Bombyx mori: one gene and its partners. The protein of the gene in region 1 interacts with the protein of each later gene in a pairwise test. Links are inferred from orthologs where the notes say so. Each region holds a gene or a part of one and is shown in the gene's direction. Other genes may lie near its edges.

The links.
Region 2: the proteins of E3 ubiquitin-protein ligase NRDP1 (region 1) and Ubcd4 interact in binary tests that used the Homo sapiens proteins (3 or more experiments, as listed by UniProt). The link is inferred for Bombyx mori from reciprocal best matches to the Homo sapiens genes RNF41 and UBE2K.
Region 3: the proteins of E3 ubiquitin-protein ligase NRDP1 (region 1) and homer protein homolog 2 interact in binary tests that used the Homo sapiens proteins (3 or more experiments, as listed by UniProt). The link is inferred for Bombyx mori from reciprocal best matches to the Homo sapiens genes RNF41 and HOMER2.
Region 4: the proteins of E3 ubiquitin-protein ligase NRDP1 (region 1) and uncharacterized protein LOC101736064 interact in binary tests that used the Homo sapiens proteins (3 or more experiments, as listed by UniProt). The link is inferred for Bombyx mori from reciprocal best matches to the Homo sapiens genes RNF41 and ISCA2.
Region 5: the proteins of E3 ubiquitin-protein ligase NRDP1 (region 1) and vacuolar protein sorting-associated protein 52 homolog interact in binary tests that used the Homo sapiens proteins (3 or more experiments, as listed by UniProt). The link is inferred for Bombyx mori from reciprocal best matches to the Homo sapiens genes RNF41 and VPS52.

Annotation. Positions count from the first base shown.
Region 1 is NC_085128.1:13,449,079-13,452,474, forward strand, and holds part of E3 ubiquitin-protein ligase NRDP1, read left to right. Parts: exon of another isoform or gene 1-164; coding exon 165-370; exon of another isoform or gene 371-646; coding exon 647-805; intron 806-1,019; exon of another isoform or gene 1,020-1,975; coding exon 1,976-2,106; intron 2,107-2,768; coding exon 2,769-2,907; 3' UTR 2,908-3,396. UniProt on the Homo sapiens protein: Acts as E3 ubiquitin-protein ligase and regulates the degradation of target proteins. Polyubiquitinates MYD88. Negatively regulates MYD88-dependent production of pro-inflammatory cytokines.
Region 2 is NC_085107.1:6,308,536-6,312,547, forward strand, and holds the start of Ubcd4 (ubiquitin conjugating enzyme 4), read left to right. Parts: upstream 1-1,209; coding exon 1,210-1,272; intron 1,273-4,012. UniProt on the Homo sapiens protein: Accepts ubiquitin from the E1 complex and catalyzes its covalent attachment to other proteins. In vitro, in the presence or in the absence of BRCA1-BARD1 E3 ubiquitin-protein ligase complex, catalyzes the synthesis of 'Lys-48'-linked polyubiquitin chains.
Region 3 is NC_085134.1:1,990,132-1,994,119, forward strand, and holds the start of homer protein homolog 2, read left to right. Parts: upstream 1-1,171; 5' UTR 1,172-1,283; coding exon 1,284-1,309; intron 1,310-3,988. UniProt on the Homo sapiens protein: Postsynaptic density scaffolding protein. Binds and cross-links cytoplasmic regions of GRM1, GRM5, ITPR1, DNM3, RYR1, RYR2, SHANK1 and SHANK3.
Region 4 is NC_085109.1:8,402,503-8,406,537, forward strand, and holds the start of uncharacterized protein LOC101736064, read left to right. Parts: upstream 1-1,220; 5' UTR 1,221-1,368; coding exon 1,369-1,622; intron 1,623-3,755; coding exon 3,756-3,933; 3' UTR 3,934-4,035. UniProt on the Homo sapiens protein: Involved in the maturation of mitochondrial 4Fe-4S proteins functioning late in the iron-sulfur cluster assembly pathway. May be involved in the binding of an intermediate of Fe/S cluster assembly.
Region 5 is NC_085110.1:11,273,504-11,277,323, forward strand, and holds the end of vacuolar protein sorting-associated protein 52 homolog, read left to right. Parts: intron 1-1,138; coding exon 1,139-1,262; intron 1,263-1,806; coding exon 1,807-2,436; 3' UTR 2,437-3,304; downstream 3,305-3,820. Other genes in the region: uncharacterized protein LOC101744334, read right to left, coding at 3,727-3,820. UniProt on the Homo sapiens protein: Acts as a component of the GARP complex that is involved in retrograde transport from early and late endosomes to the trans-Golgi network (TGN).

The DNA of each region.
Region 1 (3,396 bases):
ACACTTTCATTAACTTATTCTTAAAAAGTCGTCTATTTGTGTAAATTATTTTATTTATTGTAATCGAAATTGTAAAAAATATAAACCATAAATAATTTGTTTCTGTTATGAAATTATGTCCGTGTTTGATAATACATGGCTAATAAGATTAATCTGTCGAACAGGTGAATTTAATCCTAAACGACCAATACCTTGTGAGGCAGGATGTGGACTGGTGATACCAAAAGATGAATTAGCCCAACATAATTGTGTACGTGAGCTTAGAGCACTGATAGCCACTCAGCAGGGGAAGCTGAATGATTACCAGCAAGAACTGGCTGAACAGAGGCTCGTTATTAATGAGCACAAACGAGAATTGGCATTATTAAAGGTATGTTTTTTTACTATTTGTAGTTTTTTCTTAAATAACACATTCAATGTAGATTCTTTCTACCTACGTATTACCTACATAAAAAGAAATGTGAACTTTAACATTATGTTAATTTATATTTATAAATATCAGTTAACTTGTTAAAGTTTAAACATAACAAACAATAACTTGGTCTCCTTAAGTTAAAAAATTTCGATTAATCGAATTCTATAAAGCAACCATTAAAATGAGATGCGCAAATCTAACCACTTTTAAATCAGGAACATTTTCTTGAAGGAGTTCATGAGAGCGATGCGCGTGTCGAATCCAACGATGCGTGCATTGGCGGATCAGATGGAGCGCGAGGAGGTGGTGCGCTGGGCCAACTCACTGGCCAGGGCGAGGGTCACCAGGTGGGGTGGCATGATCTCTACTCCAGATGATGTTCTGCAGGTATTATGTACATTTTTTAATAAGATAAAAGTAATTCTCTATAATGTAAGAAAAATTCGTATCAGCTTGCATTATATACAGATCGCAACGCGAGTAGGTACATCGAATGTTTTAGGACTTTTCAAATAATACCTAATCTGGCCACATGGAATCTGGCCACATGGAATCATTGATTTTGAGTCTTTGAAAACCAAAAAATAAGCTATAAAATACTTACAAAAAGCAAGCTCTATAATAACTCACTAATATACTATAAATATAAATATTGAAATATAATGTGAATTTTACTAAAAAAATTGCAGACGAGATCCTTAAATTACACACAAATAACATACATTAGGTCTTTATCTACAAAATTGCTGTTTTACGATACTGACTAGGAACAAACACAAGCTTGTTGTGCCGATGAGTAGGTTACATAAGATAAGAAATTCATTCGGGTGTTTGTGCGCCTGTACAACAAAATCCCACAAGATGTTCAGAACCTACATATACATAGGTTTAAGAAAACTGTTAAAGAACATCTGTGCAATAAAGCTTACTATAAAGTCAATGATTATCTAGAAGATTGCACAAAGTGGGAATGAGTTGCTCGCTCCGGGCATTTCAATATTGTAGTAATTGTTACGTTATAATACTCATTGTAAAAAACTCATATTTAAAAAAAAAATGTAATATTAAAAAATTAATAAATAATAATTGCTTATTAAAAAAAAAAAAAAACATGCCCGCTGAGTTTCTTGCCAATTCTTCTCAGGACGGAGGCTAGTTCTTGTGAATTGGCGGTAGTTCTTTTGACGTTCAACAAGTATGTACTTTCATTTATGTTGAATAAAAAATTTTTGATTTGATTTGATTTGATTTGATTTGACCGCTATAAACCATAATTTATGTCTGGCTGGTAATAATTACTTAAATGAAATTAATTTGATTTTCAATATCAGTCATTTCTTTATTGATTAGTGTTTTCTTTTCACTACGTTTGTATATTTTTCATTAATATGAACGCTATAAAAATGCGAGTAATTATGGAATAGAATGTTGTATGTATGATACATTTGCTCGAAAAATATCCTCCGACCACCAGGTAACACCCAAAAATTTTCATATTCCATGCAAAGTTAATGCCTTGTAACTACCAGAAAGTGTTTTCACAATTTAGTTCGTTAACAGATGATGATCAAACGAAGTTTATCGGAATCCGGCTGTCCCCCGCACATCATAGACGATCTAATGGAAAATTGTCACGAGAGGCGGTGGCCGCCAGGACTGTCGTCACTTGAAACTAGACAAAATAATAGAAGGTACCGATTGCAATAATATCGAGATTTATTTCCAATGCTTAAGCGATCCATAATATTAAATAAAAAGAATAGGTAGTTTTAGTTTTTCGTATTTTTACATTTTGAATCTTGTATTGAGATATTGTCGAATAAAACAAAGTTATGCACCCTATGTTTATAATGTCATCATTAAAAATAACTGCAGATGTTTATGTTCAAAAAGGGGTTTGATGTGTCATGAGCCTTTCAGAAACTTTCATCTACTATAATTTTAATTTTGTCATATTTGAACATCATTAGAGACCTTTTGATTTTTTGCCAGAATTACATATTGATAATAAATAAAACATTATTCGAAGCTGTAGTTTTAAATAGCCCTTTTTTATTGCTTAGATGGGTGGACGAGTTCACAGCCATCCTGGTGTTAAGCGGTTACTGAAGCCCATAGACATCTACAAAGTAAATGCGCCACCCACCTTGAGACATAAGTTCTAAGGTCTCAATGTAGCTACAACGGCTGCCCCACCCTTTAAATCGAAACGCATTACTGCTTCACGTCAGAAATAGGCGGGGTGGTGGTACCTACCCGTGCGGACTCACAAGAGGTCCTGCCACCAGTAAAAATACCACAATAGCCTATCACACTGGCCCTATTATTTTTTTTAATGTTATAAAATTCACAGGCTATACGAAAAGTATGTTTGCAAGAGGGTGCCAGGCAAACAGGCGGTGCTGGTTCTTCATTGCGACAACACACACGTCGACGAGCACATGATGGTGGAGCCCGGGCTGGTCATGATATTCGCGCACGGAATCGAATAGCGGACTCTGAGGCGCTGCGTCGTGACGTCACGGCGCCCGCTCTACTGTACAGTGATCTTTCAATGAGTGTTCTGAATGTTGCTTACGCATAGGTGAATTTATTCCAACGTGGTAAAAGTCCTAAATTTTAGTGCGGTGCAATTGCAATGAATTCACTGTGCTCAGTGCGAGTTTCATAACGTTCTCGATAGCGTAAAAGTTAAGCCAATTTTGTATGCAGTTGGAACAGCGCCCCTAGCGGCAAACGTAGGCAAACGATCCCATTCCATACAAATATGAGCTAACTTTTACGCTATCGAGAACGTTAAAAAACTCTCACTAAGCACACAGAACTTACAGCGAAATTAGTTGCTAAAACTGTGCATTTAGCTCACGAAAAGCTATTACAATTAAGTGTTAAATTGTTGTTGAAGGGTTGACTATGCTGACAAGCATCTCACTCACTCCATACTGACACACGTGTTAATAGTAAAGTTGGTTTCTGGAACT
Region 2 (4,012 bases), on another chromosome or scaffold:
AATTCCGTTCTTTGTGTGTATTGTGAACCGTTTTCATAAGTGCTCACTGTTGATAACTTCTTAAAAATATATTTTCGTTATTGATGAACAAGATAGCTCATTCTTTTGAAGTGACTTTATTAAATTTGTAATAAGCAATTGCTGTGTGTTAGAATTTTACCTTTACACCTTTAACAGCACACTTTTAATTTTATTATGATTGTCTAATTTGGTTACTTATACACTAAAATGTTAGAATTACATTAGTTTTCTATAAAGTTACACGCCTTTTATCTTGTAATTAAGTAAACAAATGCATTATTTTTATTGTTTGGATAATGTTAAGCATCCTCAGTAAATCATTTATAGAATTTTATTAAGTACTGGTAACGACTGTACACAATGAAGTGTGTATTCGGGAACAACGGGCGCCCTTCATAGCCTTGCACGAGTTATTTATGTATGCGAGAGCATCATGTTCTTATTTCAAACACCATTTATTTTTAAATTCATAACATAAACTACTATTGGATTGAGGTACTTAGCATGCATTAGACAAAATTTTAACATAAACATTATCACAACGCACCTTTAAGCGCCAGGTACATAGGTGGAACCCGGTGACATAGGGAGTAAATTAACATAACTTCGTCCTTAGACTGTTTATAACACTGGTCATACCTCAAAATAAGACCTAAAACTTACTCACTATTATTAACAGCAAACATCACGAAACTAAATTAACTTTTATTTTAATATTGCGAATAGGAAATCACAGACGGTAATAAAATTATTGCCACACATTCAAACCAACCACAGTACACAACTTGACTTGAAGCCTATTGAAATGCGTTTACGAATGCGAGGTCTGTTTCTCTTTAAAATCTCATGCAAAATGTTGAGTGATCTGTGAGATTTCTGAACGAAATACAGAGAAAGTAAAATTCATAGAGAAAGAAAACTACCGAAAATTATTGCAATGATATGGTAATACCGTTAGTAAGTGAGAAGAGAATGTCAAATTTATATTTTTAGTCTATGTTCGACGTCAGGGTGTGGTAGAATTTAATTTCAGATATAGTGGTAAACATTTGCTCGGAATACGTTTTTGAAAACTCTTTGGTAGAATATCCTGGTATCAATCTCTTTATTTCATCGCCTGCGATCGTGCGCTTTAAACGTTTTTGAATCCAGTAAAGCAATAAGTGAAAATTAAGTAGAATTTTAACAATGGCAAATATAGCAGCCAAACGTATAAAAAGAGAGTTCAAAGAGATAATGAAAAGTGAAGAGGTATGGATAATAATTTAACTAAACTTTATATTTGTTTTGATGTTTAGAATGTAGAACTGGAGTTACTTGCACTTTTGTTAAAATGTCATATTTTGTTGGAATGCATTATTATTATTTAGATAGTTAAATTGCCCAAGAAACTAAATTGTTGGATTGTCTCGATATAATAAAACAAAGAACAAATAGCCAGTTCAGAACAATGTGTGCGTGATTCAGCAAACTTGTAGAAATCATGTTTTGTTTAAATTCAAAACGTTAATGCTATTTTTAATTCGTCGAAAAGGAATTATTTTACTGCTTCGTAATAGTAAAATTAGCTTTTCAAAATACATCTATAATGTTTTTCGTGATTCATACGAGAAAAAGTAAACATTTTGTTTTCTATATTTTCTACCAATGTTTTTAATAGAAACAATACTTATATTACCCACATTGATCTTTATAAGTAATTGAAGTTGTGTTTAAAATAAAATAAAAGATTTTATCCGATTTATGCCCAAGCAAAAGTATTTTTGGCTTATTTATCAAATCACAGTTATGACACTGGTGGCTTCAGGCAACCATTTACTTCCAAAAAGCCAGACATAGTACAGGTATTTTTACATTATTTTGGATTTATTCCCTCATTATTGATTGCCATTGAAATAGAACTTGTGTGTGGGGCACCAGCATCCCCTTGTATATGTGTTCAGCTTACCAAGTAGCAATATTTACACATAACATACCGAATTTTTTTAAATTAAATATCTGTAGCACTATTGTCATGGACAGATTGCCTTATTTATTGCAATTGTAAGAGCACACCTGCGTGCAATGCATGTAATACATTAATGTACCGAACATGATCCAGGCGATACTAAGCTAACAGCATTCATAATCCACATTTTGATTACAATAGTAATTGTCCTCATAAACATGAACTAGACGATGACCGAGCTTTGCTCGGTATTAATTTTTTTTTTGATAAATTGTCTTTCGGTTGGCTTAACAACGTCATCTGTGGAAATAACTTTAGTGTTATTGTGTCTTTAAACAATTATGAAAAATAGTATTATTATTCGCCAATATATGTCGGGAAGTCATAAAGTTGATTATCGATAAAGTTGATTATTGAAAACACAAGTAAAACAACATTTCCTAAAATAAATTCTAGCTAGATCGATTTATCGCTCCCTGAAATCCCATGTATACTAAATTTCATAAAAATCGTTGGAGCCATTTCCGAGATTCAGATTATATATATATACAAGAATTGCTTGTTTAAAGGTATAAGATTCTGTGTTTGTGTAGACTAAGAATATTAAATATCTCAGTCCTAGCCCAAACCCAGCAAAAACTGAATTTTTCATTAGACAAAGTTTTTGCACTTCCTGCAAGTATGTGCTCTCCAATTAGCAAGTATCTTTTACTGCCTAGGTTGTATCTGAAAGCTAGCATGTGTAGTAAGAAGGTTACTCCTACTTAAAATATCTGCACTGCATTAGCACCAAGGCCCAATTTTTGTTTATTTATATATAGTGTAGATTATTGGAACTATCTTCTTATTGAGATCCATATTAAGAGTTTTTCAGGAATACCATTCATTAAATTGAATTACCAGGGCTCTTGCATTTACTTTTCTTAACCTTCTGTACTGAAATAATATACTGTACAATGACACATTGTGTAATTGTGTTAGTCATATTTGTATATCTAAAAGTGCATACTTGCTGCATTGTAAGCTTGCACAATTTCTTATCTCTCTCTAACCTTTAGCTTCTGCACGGCTGCCCACTGAGATCTTCTAGCACCTCACATCTAAATGGAACAAATGTTTATGTTTCTGCAAATATAAACAGCAGGGAAAACAAAGAGGGTTGTAATTGCCAGGAGGAGTGGGATTTGCTAACAACTGCCTTAGCACCTCTAAAGAAAACCTGCCATCTCAAGGGCAATTGCTTCACGAATTCATCTTCTACCAGACCGGAATTGCGCCCCACTGAGAAGATCTGGCGAGAAATTTAGCAGGCTCTAAATGTTATAGAGGGTAGATTTACTTTGAACTCTGACGAGTTTGATGAGTTCGGTTAGCAGGGTTCCTATACTTGCTCCTAGTGTTAGAGTTGCAGGTATCTAATGCAAGAGTTATTGGATCAGATAGATCTGTAAGGACGTGTCTAGAACGTCAACGATGACTGACTCCTGTGTGAGTCTGTGGCGATATACTTGCTCCTAGAGTTAGAGTTGTAGGTATCTAATGCACGAGTTATTGGATCAGATAGATCTGTAAGGACGTGTCTAGGACGTCAACGATGACTGACTCCTGTATGAGTCTGTGGCGATGGTGGCGGATGTGATTTTCATCAAGATTCATTATCATTTCTTCAAGATCTACATATTGCGATGTAACATCATATTACTTATATCTCAATCAATTCTAGGGCTTTAACAGCCTTCATAAAAAGGAGGCTATTTATCAATTCAGCTCTGTTTTTTGTGTTAATTCAAAAGTTTTTCTCGGTCAACTGATTTTTATGATTCTTTTTTTTTTTATTATCAAATTTCAATTTTTATCGAAGTCTGAGCAGTCGTTTTTGAGTTATCCTTATTGATCTATATTTAATTGACATTGATTACATTGATCAAATTATCTCAAAATCAAAAAATGATCTAATTTTAATTTTTAAATTTGGTTTTCTTTTTTTTAATTTCGGTATCGTATTCATAAAGCTGTTTGGAACCCATTTTCGTCCTGAAATAT
Region 3 (3,988 bases), on another chromosome or scaffold:
TTGGGTGAATTGAAAGTTTTCTGGCGGGAGAAAGAGGAAGGCTTTATACAATACCTATGAGACTTAGACGATCTCAAGGTGGGTCATATTTGACTTCTACGGCTTTTGGCAATCAGTTAACGCCAATGAGTCCTGTGATGGTTTGACAGAGTAACAGTAAAATAAGATTAGTTATAGATACATTTGTCTGATATAATATATTGATTTCAGTAAATTAATAATGTCATTACGTAGTAAGATTCAGAAATATGTTAAGATCCCAAAAAAATTATAATGAAATTTCTGATGCTACCGAAATAATATAACGACAGCAAAAACGCGAGATTAAGCCGTAAAAATAGTTTTAATAATGTCTAGAACTCGCGAAATCCAAAGAAATTCAATAAAATTAAATTCAATTGTTTTAATAAATTACAAGTGTGAGCGAATGAGTAATGTAATGTCGATCCGGCTTTTACAGCGTTACATAAGTTTTTAGTTCTTACATCTACAGAACGGTTTTATTTTTATTTGGTGAACTCAATTACTTTCACTCAGCTTACACCATGACTTAATGCGTGTGGTCGAAACGGGTTGAGAATGTCAGTACAGCACTACACTTAATATACAAGAAATGTCCTTAGGTATCTCAGTTGTCAAAGGGTCATATCCAATAGAGTAGAAAGTCGCAAAGACTTGTCGTTACTATTTTTTTAAATTGTTAACGATTAATTAGCAAACCAATTTTTAACAAATTTTAATTTAGTGACATCTAGTGAAGAGTAGTTGTACTACATCAACATAGGAGCATTAAAAAAAATGTTGCTCGGTTATTTTGTTTCCATGCTTAAAGACTGATTCAAGTGGTAAAGGACGGCAGGTCCATTCACACTATTTTAAAATGAAAATGTTTTATTTATAATTATTATTTTCAAGAAAAACAAAAATAGTTAAGCCTTTTAACAAAACAGACAAGACGTTCAGTGACATCTAGCGTGCAGTAGTAAAGTCATTGTTGAATGAAATGTTAAGAAATTAGGTGGCTTATGGACTACCGTGTATTTACAAATGTATTAATACAAGATTTTTTTACATAACTTTGTTAAAGTAGTAATAAAACAGTTCATGTTAAAAAACTATGAATAGAGTCATTTTTTGTACCATCCATAAACATTCTGTAGAATTTTGCTATGTTCAATTGACTTTTAGTCTTTAGTCTATGGGTACCGAACGCTTATGACAGATCTCAAGTGAAAAATTAGGGAAATATGAAGTAAAATATTTTCATTAATTTTGTGTTTTAAATGACCGCAGGAAAAGAAACAATGGGGTGAGTTAATTTTTATGCTTTAAGTTATAAATGTCGAAGGTTTTTTGGAAATCCAAAAGAGATTTCACTTCAAAATTCATTCCTGTTAACACATTACTGGGTATAGGGTGGGGATGCATTTACCACTTCGAAGGGATATTTTTGGACAAAAAATAAATGCCTTTAATTATTAACTTAAAATAAGTGTATACTAAAAGGAATGAAGAAATAAAATATTTAAAAATAAAAACAAAAAAATTACAGTATTATTTTGCGTTTTAAAGCGCCGTTAAGTATTTCCGCTTAAATGATTATTTGCACATCGATTGAATGATTTTGCCCGACCGCAGTCGTTGGCCCTTTGGCCTTCTATTTATAAAGCCTGCGTTTTCTAGTTCATTAAATTGTATCAATTCATGTGCGCCTGGTATCCTGTTTAGAATACCGAGAGGAATAACATAAATATATGAGGTTTTCCTCATTAATAATAAACATTTAAGAAAAACTATAAAAAAAAATAAGAATAATATTTATTAAAAAAATATATTTTCTTCAAAATTAAATATTCACTGTCATGAAAGACAAATTCAATTATTAATGAACAAGGAGCTAAAACTATACCAAAGTTATTGTGGGAACATAACGTGAAGTCTTAAAAATCAATATATCATTTCAACTCTATCATTCAATACTCATCATGGAAATGTATACACAACATATTGTAGGTTTTTTAAATCCAGATTGAAAACTTTTATAATATAACATTATTGACGTAGTAGTGACCTTGTCAATAGTGATAAAGGATCCAAGTTCAATTCCAGCTAGTCAGTATCTTTAAGATACTGTGCATGCATATTCAAAACCTAAATGAGTGTTTCTGGTACCTATAAAATAGGAAATCGACTCTTAAGGTTGTTGAATATAGTGCTTACTTTTGACTGAGTGTTTCTCTAAATTAATTCAAAAAATACGAGTTTAATTTTAATTTATTTATATTTTACATTTCGATCGTAGCAGGTGTATTGGTTGAGGCATGAAAGGAAATATTTATTTATACAATAAATACAAGTATTAATGATAAATACAACATAAATGATAAAAAAAATCAAAATAATAAATACAATTATGTACTGAATTACTACAATTATACTTTACTTTATTTACTACTAATTCCATTTCTAAATTAAATATCAGCTTAGATTTCTGCTGGTCTATGATTGAATATGATAAGTTGTAGTTGTATTGCTTAGGTTCTTTGCTAGACAAAAATAGATGAAGTATGTTGATCACAATGTCAGTGATCTTTCATGTGAATAATGTAGTAACAAATTTGTTTTGACAAAACATTGAAGTCAATTTTAATTCCGAATTACATTCAATACAAGCTGTACAATAATGAGAACAGCTCACACAACAATATGTTACAAAGTAATGAACATACCACAAAACATTGTAAGGATTGATAATATTTATGTATGTAGATAGACACGCTTCCTATAATTATTTCACAGGTTTTCATGGCACCAGCAATGCATCATATTTTTATATTCCTAGAACAAAGTCTGATCTGTCTTCATAAATAATCTATTTTTGTTGATCATTCCTGTGTAGTTCTTTTTGTGTGGTCTAATGTCTATTACATTTTGTTAGTTAAAATGATTTTGGTCTAAAATGTCTACTTAGACATTTTAGACCAAAATCTGTACATAAATAAATACTATTTAAAATGTTATCTTTGATAAGTTTTAACAGTGTATGTCTGGATTTATGTTTCTAATCATTAGAAATGGGTTTCTCAATTATGAACAATAGGGCTTTTATTTTATGGTTCGTTTTTTATTGTTGTGTGCAGGCAGACGAGAGGCTGCATATGCACTGTGATAACTATAGGCTGTAGAGCAAAAAATAAAAATAAATTGCAACATAAATGCTATTTCTATCTTGAGACACTTGAGATTGTAGTTAGATATGCATTATACTTTATCTCAATTCAAATGCTTTAGTATATATGTATGCCTGTTTGTATTTTAATAACCGAAATCGGTACATATTAGCACAATAAATCTAATAAGGCTTGTAAGAAACACATAAGCAGAAGTATCTTTAAACAGAAATACGATTAGTAAACTAGTAATAGTCCAAATGTATACAATAATATGCATGTAATGTATGTATATACATGTAATGTATATATATATAACATGTACATACTAGCTGTACCCACTCACTTCGCTAGGCATTTAAAATTAACATTATTATTTCTCACCCGCACAAAGATTCTCATCATTAACGCCCTCGCAACTTGTGTAGGGAGTCATACACTCATATAAATATTACCCTGTCCATTAAGTACATGTATTTTCTACATGGATACTAAGTTTCAAGTCGATCGGATGCATGGTTCAGTAGTTATAATGGAACACCCGTAAAAACCACTGTAGAGTTATATATTGGTATAGATGTATGTAATAATCTTCAAAAATATTACTGTATCCACTATGTTGTTGACTTGCTGACTATTTTAACCCAAAATGATATCTGAATGTTTGTTTGCATTACTTTAGAATTGAGTGGGTAGGTCATGTTTTTGTACTTTTATTATTGTTTTTAAAACAATCATGGTCCTGATGTATGTTAAAATTGCCCTTGTCAAACTATGTGAGGTCGCGCAATATGTCCTCTTTTCCGCTTGGGGTCATC
Region 4 (4,035 bases), on another chromosome or scaffold:
GAAAGCGAATAAATGGATACAATGAAATGGAGTCCTAGGGCGTGTCTTCTTGGGTTCTTTGGCTTATTTATTTTCTATTTCTATTTTAGATCATCAAGGTGTTGATACATTTTTGTTACAATTTGTATTTTACAGCCATGGATTTAACCTAAAAAACTTTACACGTATAGCGTTTGTTTCTTTTGCTTACATAAATTAGAAAAACATGTTTTGTTTTCTTTAATAGGGGTGTCAATTCTTTTCGAAAAATTTCGAACTTAAAAATCGATTCGATACTCTATCGAACCACATAAAAAATCGAGGTCTAAAACTTCGATTATTCAAGAAGCGGTTTTTTTCAGTTTGCATTCAGCTGGCAGTGACCCTGACTGCGCCGAGGGTTATGGGTTCGATTCCCACATCGGGCTAACATTAGTGTGATGAAAGGTTTATTGCCTGAGTGTTTATTATTTATATATCTATATTTTTAAACATATATAAGTATATATATCACTCTCTGATACCCATAGCACAGATAATCCCAATCTGGGGCCAGATGTCCCCTGCGTCATTTGTTCCCAGTTATTAATTATTTATTCCATCTGATCGTGCGGTGTATGGAGTATATAAATAAATAATTTACCAAATATGAAGACAGAAATGCAATTATCGCTTTCAGAGGAATAGTCACTAAAGGACTATTGTGTTTACCACAAGAACTAATGTTTAATTAATAGGAGAAAAATATAATAGAGATGAGATTGCTATGGATGTAGAATTGGAAAGTTCATCATTGAAAATAGTGCTAGTTCCAGAAAATTATGTGCGGTTTTTTTTATTGAGCTGCCAATTGGTTGCTTTTTTTAAGTTCTTATGTGGGTGTACGAGCCCACGGCCCACCTGGTGTTAAGTGGTTGCCGTAGTCCATAGACATCAACAACATAAATACCATCATCCACTTTGAGACATGAGTTTCGAATTTTAATTTTTATAGTACAATTGCTGCCCTACCCTTCAAACCGAAACTTAATACTGCGTCACGGCAGAAACAGGCAGAGTAGTGTCATTCACCCATGGGGGCTCACGAACAAGTACGTAAATTATAATTTTTGCGCATTAGATTTTTATTACACGATTAAAAATCGATCTTATTTGGCCAAAAATCAATGTCGGATCGGCCTCCGTAATTCTCGAAAATTTTCGGTACAAGCAAAGCGCAAGTCTACATAATATGTCATTGTCAATGTCAATTGTGGTACACCTATGTACATAGATTATACACTTCCTATGTATGTCTCAAGTATCTTTATGTAGGCTGTGACTAGAATAGAATTAAATAATAAACTTAGTTAAAGCACTGGAAGATATTTTTCTAGAATACGAAAGAAAATGTTTTTACGTTTTAGAAATTTACACCAGTTAAAAAAGTTTGTTAATGTAAACACATTAAACAAAAGATTCTCCCAAGAACCAGCAACTTCTGTTTCAAGTACAGATATCAGTATTAGTGACAATTGTGTACAAAAATTAAAAGAATTATGTAAAGAAAACGATACCTTTCTGAGGCTTTGTGTAGAAAGTGGTGGATGCTCTGGATTCCAGTATAAATTCAACTTAGACAATGTTGTTGATAGTGATGACAGGTATGTATTAGAGCAAAATATCGAAGTACTCTGCTATACAACTCACTTTTGATTGCATAAGATAGTGGCAGAATAAAAAGAATAAGAAAAGAGCTGTAACAAAACTCGTGGAAAGAATATTCAGTGCTATTATTTTAGAAATTAAGAAGCATTCTTGTCAAATATATAATATCATTTTTCAAACTCATTTTTCATTCTGTATAATAATAATAATGAATATTATATTGTAATATTATTCTTCATTTCTTTATCAATGTAGAAGACATTGTGTTTTCTTAATGGTCTAAATGAGAGACTTCAATCAGTCTGGACTAAATTCCTATATCCCAAAAATATACACAAGTACAACAAAAGTTACTAATATTATGATAACTTAATTAGGAAAATCAGGACCTTTTATTAGCAACAAATTTTTATCAAAGTAATTGCTTAGTCTTGATTGGTTAAATTCTCCTGCATTGGAGTTAAAATAATAGCAACTAATCAAACACTATGAAAACAAATAAATAACCTTTAAGAATAAAACTATACATTTTAAAAGAGAAAAATTCTATGAAAATAGTGCTGGACTTGTGGTATACTAGCTGTTACTTGCAATGCTTTGCTGTTTTTTTGTGTAATATGAAACTTATACTTTTAATAACCAATTATGTATTACAATCTTTTATATAATAATAATTTATTTATTAACCTTGAAAACATTTACACATAACAGTTTGCTAAAAACTCTTCACACTAGGCACTGCCTGTCTCATGGAGAGTTTTTAGATGAAAGGCCCAGGATTGAGTCGTGTGTAGTGCCATGGGAGATGCCTAAGTCCAACAGTGGAGTAAATAGGCTGCAAATGAAGTACTTATACAATCCAACTTCTTTGTCTCTCTCTCTCTCTCTCTCTCTCTCTCTAATATATATATAATAATTATATAAATAAGTATATAATTATATGAAGCATACAAACCATACTTGTAATATATTATAAATAGAATTTGCTTCTTAACCTTGCACATCTATACCAAATAATTTGATCTTTGATGAGACTGATCATAAAATTTGGAATGTAGATTATCAATGATACAGAAAAGCACAGAGAATACTGTCCGTTCAGAACAAGAAGCTGTTCTAGGGATATGTGATTTCTATTTATAGATTATAATTTCTTTTATTGCCCTTGTAGGTATACAAGCATACAGCCCACTTGATAGTGAATGGTTACCGTCACTCATGATCATCACTAATGCCAGGGGCAGAGCCAAGCCGCCGCCTATAATGCATGAAGCAGAGTGTAAAAGTTAGTAAAGAATAAATTGTTCATTATGTATCCATTCATTTATATTATAAATAAAATTAGTGTTAAAATAATTTTTTTCAATAATTGCCAATTTAATTTTTTTTGGGTTCTGAGCAAACATTTAGAGTATATTTTATGCTTGATTTGGTAAGCCAATACATCATAATTATTTTTTATGATCATCTTAATATTTTTATATGAATTTTTATGAAAGGAAAAAGAGTATAAAAAGCCGATACATCTTTTAGTATACTTTATTATAACATTCTCATTTTGTTGCTACTCTAATACAAAACCCTATAACCCTATTAACCCTATTACATACCACACCCTTGCCCCTTTTGCTTTAATATTCGTTTTTTTTGTCAATATTTTCTCTTGTTGAAAAATTATTTTAACGATGGAAACCGATGCATTAGCAGTAGTGACTTTTTAATAATGAGGACATCAAGATAGCTAGACGTAAAATGATTGGCTTCATTGGACATGACAGCCTAAAAAAAAATGCATTAATTTTTAGGGGCATTATGAAATGATGAATTTTTAATCTTCAAATTTACTTGAACTTTATTTTGTTATGTTTTTTTTTATAAGTTCAAGATATTCCAGTTGACGTTGTTTAAATATCAATCTCGTAATTTCTGAACTGAAAAAAAATACTACTATTCATTACTACATTTGCCAAAGTTAACATTTTTGCCAAAGGGCCTAAGGAATTTAAGGTTATGCTATTTAGTAATTCAATGTTTTTGTAATTGCATTGAATATGTACGGAAGCTCGCATTATTGTTTTAAGGAAATAGATGAAACAAAACTTCATTGACTAACCAAGTTTTTTTTTCAGGATATTTGAAAAAAATGGTGTCAAAGTGGTGGTTGATGAGACGTCACTTGAGTATATTAAAGGTTCAACAATAGATTATCACACTGAACTTATTAGGTCTGCTTTCCGAGTGCAACAGAACCCAAATGCAGATATAGGTTGCTCTTGCGGTGCTAGTTTTTCTATAAAAATTGATTGAAATGGCCATATTAAACCACTGTAAATTTTTTATGCAATTATGGAAAATAATTTAGTTAAGAAATGAATGATTAGATAGATTATAATATGTGTTTTAATAATA
Region 5 (3,820 bases), on another chromosome or scaffold:
AGCTTTATAATATTAGTATACAAGTAGATTGTGCCAGTGCTGTTCATTTTGAGGGCTGTAACCATGAGATGATGAAACTGAGAAATCACTCATCATAACTGAATGCATATATTTTTAATATCTATGCTGCCCATTGAAGAGTTCCTTATTCAGAAACCAACCCTCAGCGCAGCAACACCATGTAACGATAAAATCTAAAATACACACATAATAAATGCGTACAACAAAATCTCATATCTATGCTGTGTACCTTTGAAGAGTTGCTTTACCTAAAGCTCATTTTTATGGTCATTGCTTACCATAAAAATACTCTCATCACTGAAATTGAACCAAGAAGTAAAAGTTCAACTCCGTATGATAAGTAGAGGTTTAATTTGCTACATTTGACCCAAACACGCAGATAAATGTATATACAGTAAAAGGTCCTTATTCACAGAATATATGTTTTGTAAGTTTTTTTTCCTACCTATGCTGATAGCCTTGAGAGGCTATTTCAGCTTCTCCTTGACGTGTAGGTGAGCTCACGGGGCTCAAACCGGGAGTGTTGCTAACACTGGCCCTAACAAGAGCAGTACTTCGCACAATTTACCACCGGATCGGAAATGCGACTCACTGAGAAGTTCCGGCGAGAAACTCAGTGGGCTATGTCTATGGGTTAATTTACTTCGTCGAGCCTTTCGTCGCGAGGACTGGTGCTTGAGGTACCTAAAAGCACCGCTAATGTATCCGGAGGATCCGTAATGAAGTGTGTTTAGGGCGACGTCGACTGTTTACCATCCGGTCCACTGGATCGGGTATTTCCGTAAATATGCTGCGAATACAGAAACCTTGAATAAGGAAAAGTACGTTTACAAAGGATATATATCACGCACACCGTGACACGAGAATTTTATAATATATTAGATCTTATATAGAATCTTGAATAATCAAAAAATTTAACAAAGCCCTGAAAAACATCTTAACTATTTACAAGGACTTGTTCCTAAAGTTTTCATTGATCAAATAAATTAATTATTAAATAAATAGTCTATTAAATAAAAACTATGAAACAGAATGATATGCTGTAAATCTCAACACCACAATTTTTATGTCAGTTTAAACGCTAAACTAATTAATATTCGTACGTATGTTGTTGCAGTTACTGGGAATCATTATACAACACTTTGTGGCCTCGGCTACAATATGTATTAAAACTGAACATTCAAAGCGTACGGGACTGCGACCCTTCTAAACTGTCAAACAAGGAAATGGGACCGCATTATGTAAATATTTACAATTTAAATTTCATTAGTATAAATTATTTTGCTTTAGATCTGGATTTATTGCCTACAATATAATTGGGTTTAATTGTATTAATACACCTCTAATTATTTTCTCTGCATTGCCTACGGTTGACTGGTAGAGAATGCCTTAGGCTTTTAGTCCGCGAATGTGTACAAATACATAGTGTAATAAATACAAAAAATATTATTATAAATTTGCTATGTTTCAAACTTAGTATCTTAAAATTGTGTAATCATTCCAGAAATATTCGTATATAAATAAATTGAAACAACTGTCATTATTTGAAATTATTTTACGATCTCATCTCGCTACGATGACGAAACCTTGAAAGTGGAATCTGGAATTCACAAAACTACATTTTTTTCACATTAAGAGTTCATATATGTAATAAATAAGTATGTTATATAATATTTATATAAGTCTTACATTCGTATTATTCATAAAGGAGTCCTAAGAACCTAGGTCATTCATAATGTTAATAACTGTAAAAGTATGAATTACTTGAAAACTTTCATTTTACAGATAACACGAAGGTACGCCGAATTTTCGGCAGCTATGCTGAGCCTCAGTGAACAATTCCCGTCTGAAGAACTCAGTAAACTTCTGACTGTACTTCAGGATGAAGTCCATTGTTTTTTACTTAAAATGGCTGCAGAGTTCCCTCAAAGAATACAACAGCTTATATTTTTAATTAATAATTACGACATGGTCCTCAGCATATTAATGGAAAGAACTAGAGACAACACAAAAGAAGCAGAAAGCTTCAGGGAACAATTACAGGGAAGAAGTTCAGAATATGTAGAAGAGATTCTCAGTCCACATTTTGGTGGAATGATACAGTTTGTCAAGGAATGTGAGCAATTGCTAGATGGTGATAAAAAGGCAGAATTAGCCGGATTAGAAAGAAAATCTCTATCCCTTGTAGCATCATTCAGTTCGGGATGGAAACAAAGTCTAGAAGAAATACATAGAGAAGTGCTAGTATCGTTTCCAAATCTAGTTACCGGGTCAGGTCTGTTGCAAATGGCGTTAACGAATTTCGTTCAATATTACCACAAATTTGTAAAACTTTTAACGCCCAGTGCCCGTACTCAATTAGTTAATATACATGTGATAATGGTAGAAATAAAAAAATATAAAACAAATTTTTAGAATCTTAGATTTCATTCCGACATGAGATCATATACATACACAAATACGTGATGATGATGATGATGATGATCATTACATGTAGTTGTTTATTTCCCAAATGGACGCATAAAATCAATCGAGTATTTCAGCACAATCAGTTTTAATGAAATAGTATTGCAATTCGAGCACTTGACATCATGTATATGACCTCTAATATATGTTTTATTTGTGAACTCTGGATTTTGTAGTAAATATATGTTTAATGTATGTATTACATACCATACATATTACATACCAAACCTTAATTATTCCTCGAATGTTTCCAACATACTTGTCTCCGCGATGGACATCTAAACTACTGAACCGATTTTAACTACCTTTTTTTTTAAATATGTGTTTTGTTCCAGCTTAGGTCCTATGATGGTTTTTATTTCGATTAATGCTCGCAATATTTATTAATTAACAATAAAATTATTTCTTATGTGGATTATTGTTATTAATTGTAAGTTTCATAAGTCTAAAACAGATGGCGCCTTAAACCAATTTTTACAGACAATTATAATACTGTCTGAAAATAATATGTCATAGATGGCGCTGTGTTAAAAATACCAACGTTTCACATAAGCTACAATTTAATGGCAACACCGCGTGTTGTTGAGGCTAAAGTATAAGTAAAATTCATTTCGTAGTAAACGCAATACAGTGAAATCCAATTGTTCTTACTTTGTTAATTTTTGGTATTAGCATAGCCAGCCACGTGTTATTTAGAAACAAAAACGTTAGCCACAGCAACGTGTGGCCGAGTCTGCTAGTATTAATATATTATTTAATAATTGGTGGCTATTAGAACAATGCTACGGTTAACTAAATAAACAAGATATTTATGAAATGTTTTATTTTCATCATCTTAAACCTACTCTGAACTTAAACAGAAAACTACAATCACAGTATTCAATCATAAATTGATAGGCCTCCATAAAATTCTTGTTAAGTGGATAAACAAACACAATAACTATAATGTTGATTTTGAAAATTTAACCAAAAGTATATATTATTGTAGTTTATTTAAATGCAAACTTGAGTTATGGGCCTTAGCCTAAATAGATTTACTTAAATAAAATTAACCTCACAGTTCTGTACAGTATATATAACTTAGTAATAAGATCACATTCCACTATAAAACTGTGAAACATTATCAACATTACAACTGACAACACAATTTATACAAGAGATATATTTACGGTCAAATGTAATAAAATAGCCAATTAAACTACTACTCACACACTATTTTCAAAACAGTATATTTTTCTACTATCTAATTTTGGCTAATGTAATTTTCCATGTTCTTAAAGGTTTCGACTTGACAAAGTCTCGCAAAGCATCTTCTAGTTCGGGTGAAATAGTT